Linked DNA regions of Schizosaccharomyces pombe. Changing the gene in region 1 together with any one later gene gives a genetic interaction. Each region holds a gene or a part of one and is shown in the gene's direction. Other genes may lie near its edges. The genes, in order: exg2 and fus1.

Evidence for each region.
Region 2: of exg2 (region 1) and fus1, changing one enhances a phenotype caused by changing the other (phenotypic enhancement), as found in Schizosaccharomyces pombe (one study listed by BioGRID).

The regions. Positions count from the first base shown.
Region 1 is NC_003424.3:4,589,899-4,594,083, forward strand, and holds exg2 (glucan glucosidase exg2), read left to right. Parts: upstream 1-1,956; coding exon 1,957-3,669; downstream 3,670-4,185. Other genes in the region: protein Nod1, read left to right, coding at 367-1,626; DNA repair protein Rhp41, read right to left, coding at 3,975-4,185.
Region 2 is NC_003424.3:4,812,305-4,819,788, reverse strand, and holds fus1 (formin Fus1), read left to right. Parts: upstream 1-2,002; 5' UTR 2,003-2,445; coding exon 2,446-6,564; 3' UTR 6,565-6,678; downstream 6,679-7,484. Other genes in the region: eIF2 alpha kinase Hri1, read left to right, coding at 1-1,530; CCR4-Not complex subunit Caf16, read right to left, coding at 6,724-7,322, 7,368-7,484. UniProt on the Schizosaccharomyces pombe protein: Required for cell fusion. It associates with the pre-zygotic projection tips in conjugating cells.

The DNA.
Region 1 (4,185 bases):
TTTGGAATCAATAAATGATGAAACAATGAAGTTTCAAACTAACTAGAGTTGTGTTTATACATAGTGCTCCATATAAGATCAAACATATCCACGAACGCTCAATAAATGTTTTATTGGTGTCTAACAAATTCTTCATGATTTGGAAACTTTATTTAGTTAAAATACTTAGCAATTTATGGTGAGACATCCATCCAATCTCAAATTTTTTCTCTATTCGTAAATACTTCTGTTTAAGCAACTAGACGAATTTTGGTTTCAAACTTCTACAACGCAATTCTAAAGTGAAGATTTCCTTGAAACGCTTATCTACTATTTGTTGATTGGGTGTTCCATACCGATTGAAATTTACTTTTCTGATATATTTAAATGGAAAAACCATTGCCTAATCCGCCTATTCAAGAAAGTTTACGAAAGCAATCCCCCCAAGACGCTGTTTACGATGATTTGGTTTTTGGTTTAAAACGTTATGAAGCGGCTTTCTCAATTAAAGACAGTATTGAAGATGTTCTAGCAAATTTTTCTAAAGACGAGGAAAAGGAAATGGTTTGTCTCAGTACGTCGATTGCAGAAAATCCTTATCAATCGCTTTCATTAGAATCTGTTCCATCCAAAATACTATTTGGATCATTTTTATTTTATGTAAAGGATCGAATCCCGGAGAAAGCTGGTTATATAATTGAAGAGCAGTTCTGTAAACGACTTCAACAAATCGATTACGATGCTTATTCTTTCTCACCAAAAGAGTGTAATGAAAAATTAAAAAATATTTTCTCTGAATTCTCTCAAATGAAGCTAAAAATGTTGTCTGTTTTTTTCTCGATTGTACAAATTTTGCTTCCTAAACTCAGTGGAGATTATCAGGAACATGTCCAATTTTTTGCTTCTATATCGGCTGTCGTAGCACCGAGGGGTTATGTTTTTGAAATCTATCATGCAGTTGAACATTTATCTCTTGAAGCTAGGGAAGTTTTTCAGCTGCACCATCCTCCTTCCCCAAAACAAACAAGGCGGGTCGTTTCTGAAGGACCTCTTAATGGCGTAAACTACAAGCAAAACACTACTAACAACAGAGTCTCTTCTTTTCAAAATTCTCAATACTCTACGCTAAATAATTTCCAAAATAACTCTAATCAATCACCTAACTCCAATGATTTGCAACCACTTCAAGCTGAAGCCTTTCACTCCGCACATAATGGGTATTCTTCCTCTACACTCAACCTTAATTCTGAACTAAATGTAATGAAAGATCACGATCTACAAGCTCCGATTCCGCGTGCTTTAAAGCAGCATAAACTTCCTCCCATACCCGTACCTGAAGTTCAAACAACTAATATTGGTTATCAAACTGATTTACCATTGCAAAATCCCAATGATAACTTGGTATCTTTGGCGATTTATGAGGCACTTTACGAGAAATTTCTTAAAGCCTGTAAAGATCTGGAAGAAGTTTCCAAGTCATATGAGGAAAGCCGTGAGGAGATTGAAGCTTTGCATGAAACATTTACGGAGGAAGTGACTTCTTTTCAAAGTACTAAGAGATTGAAAGAGGAAAAAATTATTCAAGAAAAAAGTCGGGTTGATAAAATGATCGACGAATATCGTCAAAAACTTTCAGAAAGCACTTAACACTTTTACGTTTAATTATTGGAAATTTACTTATATTTTTAGATTGTTATTAACTTTTTATTATGTTTATGACTTGTTAACTGCTAACTTATATGCATGTTCCACCGCTAACGTCACAATGATGGATCGGTATTATTGTAATAGTTTTGCAATTTAAATACTGTTTGATGACTACATGTTCATATTTTTTGTTTGAAGCACGTTCTTCCTTTCTTTCCTCCCTTTGAAGAGTTGTATCATTATCTTTGTTTCTTTTCTTGTCAAGGGCCCGGTAGTTCCTTCTTTTAATAATTGGATCAAAATATCTTTCTTTCTTTTTATTGATAAAATATGAGCAATCTTTTAGAAGCTGAGTCATCTTGTGACTCTAAATCACTCGGTGTTGATGACTTTACATCTAAAAGGTGTAGAGAAATTGACAAGAAGGCTCTTCTTATTACTATCCTCCTTACATTTTTTGTTTCCCTATGTGTTTTCCTGTCAATTATTCTTCCTCTTATATTTTTAGTTATTATTCCTCACGCTCAGTCAGATCGAAAAATTAAAGACACAAATATGGAAACCACTAATTTAGGCGTAAATATAATTGATGAGATATTTAATTCCACTCAAGTACCTGAATGGGCTAAAAACTCGCTTTTGGACACCAATACTTGGCTTGATACATCTGATTTCAATACAAGTTTTACGAACGAAACGTTCGCTGGATTATATACAATGGGAATATTTGATAAATATGATGATTCCGTTCAGGCAAATCCTAATGTCCCTCCTTTGAACGAGCCTTTTCCGTACGGTCGACTTCCCATTAGAGGTGTAAATCTAGGTGGATGGCTTTCAATGGAACCATTTATTACTCCATCTTTTTTCCAAGTGAAAAATGAAACTGCATACTTAGTAAAAGATGAATTGAGTCTACACGCATATTTGGGGGAAAATGCCACCAGCGTTATTGAGAACCATTACAATACATTTGTCACGAAACAAACATTTTACGAAATTAGGGAAGCAGGTTTGGATCATGTTCGGATTACCTTTCCATATTGGATTCTTTACAGTAATGAAATAACTAATGTCTCGGGTATTGGGTGGAGATATCTACTTAGATCTATCGAATGGGCTCGTGAGCAAGGATTAAGAGTTAATCTTGATTTACACGCCGCACCTGGTAACCAAAACTCTTGGAATCACGGTGGATATTTGAATCAAATGGAGTGGTTGGATGGCACAGTGAAAGGCGAGGAAAATTCTCAATTCACACTAAAAATTCATGAAAGACTTGCTTCTTTTTTCTCTCAGAAACGGTATAGAAATGTCGTTACAATATACGGTGCACTTAACGAACCAAATTTCTTCGTTCTTGATGAGCACAAAATTACTGATTGGCATAAGCAAGCCTATGCGGTAATTCGCCAATCTAATTTTACAGGTCTAATATCACTTAGTGATGGATTTCGTGGTCCAGGTAATTGGGAAGATCATTTTGATCCATTTCACTTCCCAAACATACTTATCGATGTACATAGGTATATCATTTTTAATGATTTCTTAATTGGTTTGAGGCCAAAAGATAAACTTAATGTGATATGTAAGTCATGGAACGAAGAAATGAAGTTAAAGGCCAAATTACCGACGATTATAGGAGAGTGGAGCCTTGCGGATACAGATTGTGCTAAGTTTTTAAATAATGTTGGAGAGGGTGCTCGATGGGACGGCACTTTTACTCCTAATGGAGGTGTTGCCAGTTGTTCTGAAAAAGTTGGTTGTCGTTGCGACTTCGCAAATCAGGACCCCGAAAATTACGAGGATTCTTATCGAAAGTTTCTATATGCTTTAGCTACTTCACAAATTGAAACATTTGACAAAACATGGGGCTGGTTTTATTGGAACTGGGACACCGAAAATGCCACTCAATGGAGTTACAAAAAATCATGGCTGGCAGGTTTGTTGCCTCGCTTGGCTTACTCTACAACGAAGGATTTCAATTGCAGCATGCTTGATTCTAAATCTTTCATGGAGTTTGACGAGCAATCTGAATTTTGATGGTAATTAGAAAATGCAAGCATTGTTCTTTGGATAATATCAATCTTTTATTTTAATTTATGTCAATATAAAGGTACTTATTAAAGACCCCTGAATTCTATAGAATTTTAAAGTCATGATCGCTCATCTTTATTTGTGTACTAATATATATATACAAAGAAATATATGATAACAATTCAAACTTCGTATTACAATAAAAAATAAATAACAACCTTGATGTAGATAACACTAAGAATGTGTAGCCAGGTACTTTGTAAAATGATTCCATCATTGAGCTCGTAGATTAGGAAAATCGAATTTATCAATTAACCGTATTCTTCGAATACACGCTGACGAATCCGAAGGCCTGTAATCAGTCGCTTCCATAATAAAAGACAAGTCTTTCTTACATTCCTTGCCTCTGCTTCTTTTTCTTCCTGGTCTATCTCCTCTGCAATGAGATCGATAGCCTCTTCATAACGCTTAGAAACAACAACTCCCTCTAATTTAGGCTTTGAGTACTTCCGTTGAAAATCA
Region 2 (7,484 bases), 220 kb from region 1:
GAGCACAAAGATGGAACCGGTAACTTGTCTTTTAGCAACTTTGATAGCTTTCCCACAGTCCAAAGGTCAAGATATGCAAGTGATTTTGAAGAACTTGAGTTACTTGGTAAAGGCGGTTATGGTTCAGTGTATAAAGCTCGAAATAAATTCGATGGAGTTGAATATGCTTTAAAAAAAATTCCACTTCGGTTACGTTCTTTCTCCACTTCTTCTAACATATTCCGTGAATCTAGGACCTTGGCAAGATTAAACCATCCCAATGTGATAAGATTCTTTTCTAGTTGGGTCGAGCTCTTACCGTCATCTGAAAAGCAAATCGAAGAAGAACCTTTAGCTTCGGCAGATGAGACATTATCTCAATCAGCAGATATAGATAATTTTATGTTTGATATGGATACTGGGTTACTTCAGCATACTTATCCTTCATCAGTTCAGATACTATTCCAAGAGGACTCGGTTGCAGATGATTTAACTCCTTGTTACTCTACCAAAAATTCGACTTGCAACTTGACTGATCTTTTCAAGAAAGAGGCCGATCAGGATTATGCCGAGTCACATGATTGTTCTTCAACAACATCACAAGTCGACACATTAGGAAAGTTGGCGCCAACGAAGTCAGCTTCTGAAATGTTACTTATGGATTCATTTCTATCCGAAAGAGAGGAAGATGAATGTTCCAATATTCCCAGCTTTGATCAACAGCCCTTATGTTTGTACATACAAATGGCTCTTTGCGAAGAAACACTCGAGAAACACATAAACAGACGAAATAAGCATATTCACGGTGTAATGTCTAAAGGCCTACGTAACTGTTATATTTTACTGTTTGCAAGGATTTTAGAGGGCGTTTTGTATCTTCACGATGCTATGCATTTAGTCCATCGTGATTTGAAACCTCGAAATATTTTTCTATCTAGTGGTGTACATTCTGAGCCTTGCTCTGTGTGTCTACCTAATTTTTCTGATGAAGATAATGTTGAGGTTAGCAATGCGTACGAACCAGTGAACCAAAGAACTTTATGTGTTGTGCCCAAGATAGGCGATTTCGGTCTTGTTCTTTCTCAGTCAGATAATTTGGAAGAGGGGACCAACTCCTCAGCTGAATCTTCTTTTGTCGGTACAAGTACGTATGCAGCTCCTGAACTTTTCTCAAAACACATGCGATCGGTAATGAATAACAACTCGTCTACTGACATATATGCATTGGGCATACTCTTTTTTGAATTACTGTATCCTTTTAACACGCGCATGGAAAGGGCATCAGCTATCGCCAATTTAAAAAAGGGCATTTTCCCCCATGATTTCTTGGATTCCATGCCAGAGGAAGCTAGCTTAATCCGGTCAATGCTCAGCTCTTCGAATAAGCGCCCAACTGCTGCTCAACTTTTGACTAGCAATCTATTTCATGATTTGGTAGTCAATGAGCTTCATGTATATCAAGCTTTATTGGAAGATGCTGAGAAACGAAATAACAATTTGAAAGCAGAACTAAACATACTTCGAGTTTTAAACCCCAATTACGACTGTTAGTATTAGTTACGAACTACTTTGGACTGCTTCAATTGTTTTTACAATTCGCTTTTGACAAGATTTAGTTGTTTATGTTATTTTATGTTTATATTTCCTACGTTTTATGTTTATCCACTGTTATGATTTGTTTATAGTGAGTTATCTTCCATGCTCTTGGAATGGTTTTTGGAGCTTTTAGGTGCGAAAGAGTAGTCTGCATTAAAGATTTTTCTTATTTTAATATATTAAATTGAAAGTTCATCTTGTACATTTTTTCGTTGCTAGTTTTCAGTTCAACAGTCTGATTGATTTTTTTAAGTTTTCTTGATCTTGATCTTGTACTCAAAATGTTTATCCTTTTTAATCAAACTGTCTTTCATTTATGGAAAACAAATATCAATCAAGCTATAAATTAAACAGCAGAAGCGATTGTTTAATTTTAGCGTGATAGTAAACTAGCACTTCATTAGGCGCCTTATTCTAAAGACACAGTATGTACGCCACCCTCTCAATGTCTTTTAAAAAACATTTATTAATAAATATAAACTAGAATGGACACTAAACTTATTTCCAGCATTATTCAGTTAATTCTGATATGGACTACTTTCAAGTTGTCGCTTTCCAATTACGTTTGTGTTTGAGCTTGAACTTATCGGAAAACTAAATAGTTTTCGAACACAGTTAGTATTTCTTTGTTCTTTAACGGGTACAATAAAATGGATCGTTGCATATGTAATTGTTGCTTTGAATCATATTACGTCGGTTAAACCGAACAAAGAAAGTTATGTTCTAAATACTCAGTAATTTTCTAGTAAGTCTTTTACCTTACTTCTTATATCTGAACTCAAAAAGGATTGTTTACGAGCAAAAAACCTTGTTTCTGTAATTATAGGACATATTATTGATGGTTTCACCTTTTTTAGCTATTGCTTGTTAATGATGACGGCTAGTTTTAAAGGTATCAGAATCTCTAAACCAATTGTTAAAGAAATTTCATCGTTTGGGTCTCTAACAAACATTGATTTACACACTGACCCATATGAAAAAGTCGAAGCAAAAGCATTATCGCGAAGCAGATTAAAAAACCAAAGCGTAAAGAAAACAGACCTTCGTATTACAAATGATTACTCTTCACTATTTGTGAGTATTGAAAACAAAAAAAACACTATTCCGGATATTCATTGCAACAATTTATCAAAAAGACCTGTTGGATTTACCGATTCATATGTACCAGGCGAAGCGCTTCTATGTCCGGATGACCCGAATTTAGTGAATGAATTATTCGATGATGTTTTAAAAAGATTACGCGAAGAAAAATCTGATTCTGGTGAGCAGTTTCATTGGGACGCGAACGTTACACTCTCTCAAGAAAACAAATGGTCTTTCATCACTGGCTATTTATCGAGAAACGATAAATTTTTAAAAATATCATCAAACGATTCTGAACTAAATGTCAAGGCATCCGTCATTTCCTATATTGAAAAGTTAAGCTGTACACCGTTGAAGCTCAAGTACGTGGAATCTTTGGCGGTTGCATTGAGAACCGAATCAGTTACCTGGGTTCGATATTTTCTTTTGATGGGTGGACACATAGTACTTGCTAAAATATTGCAGGCAATTCATGAGAAGAAACATCTAAAAAGTCCTGACATAACTTTAGAAATTGCAATCCTCAAAAGCATGAGGTGTATTATAGGACAGAAGATTGGGACTGATTTCTATCTGAGTAATAAGTATCCTATCGATTCAGTTGTTCACTGCCTCCTGTCAACTAAATTACTAGTAAGGAAACTAGCTGCCGAATTACTTACTTTTCTTTGTTACTCAGAAAAGCCGAACGGAATCAACGCAATTATGAAATGTATGAAAAACTTTGCAAATTTGAAAGTCGAGTCTATGAACGTCTTTGATTTATGGCTTTCTCAATGGAAAAGAACACTCTTAGAGAAAGTTGTTACTGAAGAAAAGAAAGTACTAGAAGAAGCGGCCTTACATGATAAAATAACTATTGAGTATATCATTTCACAAATGCTTCTTATAAATGCATTTCTTGAAAATATCCCATCTAAAACTGCTTTACTCCAGTTCAAGGAATCCTTGAGAATAGGGAATTTCAAAAGCATTTTACTCATTCTAAAAAAAATAAATGATGAAGGAGTATTAAAACAACTCGAGAAATGCGTGAAACTCGTATCATTAGACACTGCTAATGAGAAACATTTTTTAAAGCACACTCCAAATTCTGCTGCTCATCAATCCCTTTTAAACACAAACATGTTTAATGATGCAAATTTCGAATTTATGGTTAAAGAGCATATTAAAAATTTTTTAAAACTTTTGAAAGAGCACAACAACCCCGTCCGTATTATAAAGTTACTTGATTGTTTAGTGCTTACTTTACAAGCTGATAAAGGGAATGGTAATTCAAATAATGATATTGATTGCTTTTATAAGGAATTAAAGATTGGAAACGAGCAAGGGAACAACGCTCCGGGGTACTCAAGTGTTACGTCTGGCTACGGTACTACCAATAGCAAAAAAGTTGTCGCATCATATGATAATACTGATGATAATGAATACAGCGTCTCCAAATCAGAACTTTATGCTACTGGTGATACTAATAACACTACAAATCAAGGATATGAGAATTCCGAAAGAAAGTATGTGGAAAGTTCGAAGTATGAAACCGATCTGAAAAATATCTTTGATTGTTTGTGTTTGTTGTTTCCATCAGAGTTTGATCCTCAATCTTCCTTTTCAGCCGAAAAAATTTTTAGTAAACTAAAGCACTTACTGACGCGTACGCGCGATTCATACATTTCCGAAGATACCAAAATTCTTCGATTATTGAACCGATCAAGTAGTAAACTGCAAGATCGTGACCAAGAGTATTTAATTTCTAAAAACAATGTGAATGGAAATGGAAACAGAGATTGGGTTCAACCCGTGAACACTACCTCTAGCGTTAGTGCTTTTGCTTCACCAAGGATAAAACCTAAACTGCTTTTTCAACCAAATCAGGATGAAAAATTAAAACTTTGCAAATTAGATCTAGCTAAAGCAAACTCAATCACTTTAAAATCCGAGCCATCTTCCGCTGTTTCAACGCATTCTTTTGAGGTTCATCTGAGTATGCCAGGAACACAAATAAAAAGTGCTAACTTAGCAGAAAAAATGGAAACTTCAAAACACAAGGTTTTTAATCCAAAAAGGATTGATGTTGTTAGTGATCTTCCCTTAGACTATCGAAAGTCGTACTATGGCCGATTTTCCATAACTGATACCAAGAGGTTTTCTAAAATAGAAAATATGAGAATCAAAGAAGTTATTGATGGGAATCCATTCAAAGCTCCACCTCCTGCACCATTACCACCTCCTGCACCTCCTTTACCAACTGCAATGTCTTCTCTCCAGAAATTTGAAAAAAATGATTCACAAATTTTTCGGAAGACGATAATTATTCCCGAAAATATTTCAATCGATGACATATTTAAATTCTGTTCAGGTTCAGAGTCTGAAGTGTATGCAAGCAAAATTCCTGGTGAGCTATGCAATCCTTCTAAACGGCTAAAGCAGCTTCATTGGAAACGCCTCGAAGTTCCTTTCGAAAAAACTCTATGGAATATTGTAGTTGCAGATCCTTATTTATTAACTTTAAAACTTACTGCGGAAGGGATTTTTAAGCAACTCGAAGATTGTTATCCATTGAGAGAAGTAACAGTTTCCAATAAAAAAGTTAAGGAATATACCGGATTTATGCCAGTTGATTTACAGCAAATGGTTAGTATTCGTTTGCATAGATTCAATTCCTTGACACCAATTGAAATTGCCAAAAAATTTTTTCATTGCGACCATGATATCATGGAACTAGTCGATTTTTTTAATGACCGAAAGTTTTTTCGACAAGAAGGTCTTAAAAAGCAACTAAAGCCTTATATGTCATCTCGAAACGAAGAGGTAATGGAAGTAAGTGAAAAGCTTTTAGAATTGTCTCGTTTCGATCAAATTTATACGTTAATTGTTGTTGACATTGATACTTATTACGAAAAAAGAATGGCAGCTTTAAAAATCAAATCGTTTCTGGCCAACAACTTTAGGGATTTTAGAAGACAAATAAGGAAACTTCATTGTGCTTCTTTAGAGTTGAAATCTAGTTTGCATTTCAAGTATTTTTTAAATTTGGTCCTTCATATTGGCAATTTTATGAATGATGCACCCCGTCGAGCTAAAGGGTATCGATTGGAAAGTTTACTAAGAGCTTCCATGATTAAAAATGACAAAACAGGATTAACACTTCTTCATACTATTGAAAAAATAGTTCGGACTCACTTTCCACAATTGGAAGCTTTTCTCGTGGATTTGAAAGCCATTCCCGAGATTTCCAGATTTAATTTGGAGCAGTTGGAGCAGGATTGTAATGATATTTGTGAACGGATGAAAAATGTTGAAAAGGACTTTAGCAATGAAGGCATTTTTTCGAATCATAAAGCTCTTCATCCTGATGACCATATCTGTGAAGTCATGGTTCCATGGATTCCATCAGGAAAATCAATGGTGGATGAACTTAATTCTGATATTACTGAACTAAAAACAACCCTTAAAACAACTCTCTTAATGTATGGTGAAAATCCAGATGAACCTACATCGAGTGCTAGGTTTTTCAATAATTTAAACGAAATAATACTGGAGTACAAAAAGGCTAGCACTGTAAATCAGAAGATGGAGAAGGAAGAAGAACTTGCTTTTCTAAGACTACAAGCTTTAAAAGCATCTGTTAAAAGCAATAATGCAGAAAATAGTGGTTCTTCAAAGAATGAGGAAGTTTCAGCAACAATGGAAAATTTAATATCTCAGCTACAGAAAGGTTTGTGTGATGATTCTTTAAGCAACAAAACCGATTGCACTGAATCATCGAAACAAACAATCGAAACTCTAATGAATTATGAAAATGATAAACAAACTCTAGAAGGCTCAAATAAAAAGAGACAAACAGTCGTCCTTAAAGCTGAATGCATGCTTAAGCAGCTGGAGAATAACAATGAACTTAAGAGATAATGATGTTTGAAATGTTAATGACTTTTAATGACAATTAAATGACTTAAACAAATTATAATGAAATTATAATTAATAAAAGGTATAATTATTAATTCTAGTAAGACTGTAATGCTTGTTAAAGATAGAATTAAGCATCTAAAGGATAACTTTTCTAGTAATCTATTTTGCTCGGGAAATCTTAAAGTAATCAGTAAATACATCAGTTCCAACTTTTAATGATTCTTGAACGTCGTCCCAGGTACTACGCTTTTCCTCTTCTCGAGTTCCCCTATTTTTTTTGTCTTCTTTGAGCCATTCCAAACATGTCTCTAGAAGGGCGCTATTTCCCGTAGAGGACCTTGTCATCAGAGCACCAAACTTGGATATTGGTCCATAATCCACGATACGCCCAAGACTGAGATGGACCAAGTGAGTTGGCCACTCAGCTAAACCATCAAATATATGTGTTGCATAAACAATAGTAGCATTCCTTACTTCCGTTTCCTCTTGCAAAAAATTTAACAAATCTGCCCGGGCAAGAACATCCAAATCTACAGTTACTTCATCAAGTAAAAGTACTTCAAATGGACGCAGAAGTCCCATACATAGTTGAACACGTCGTCTTTCACCATCGGACACTGCATGCATTCGCCAACGAAGATCTATATCAAGAATTGAAATCAAGAAATCCCTACGTTCGGCAAATTTATCTCCTCCAACAGAAGCAATTAATCGTGCAACACTCATATCCCTATGTATAACAGGGTTGTTAACCCATTCTACAAACGCACACATCAGTAAAATTTGATGTTAAAAGAACTTACCAGTTCCTAAATAAACAAATGCAGAACTAGACTCACGAAAAGGATCTTTACCACCCACCGATATATGTCCTGCTTTCGCAAGCGATTTTCCAGATAAAAGTTTAAGTAAAGTTGATT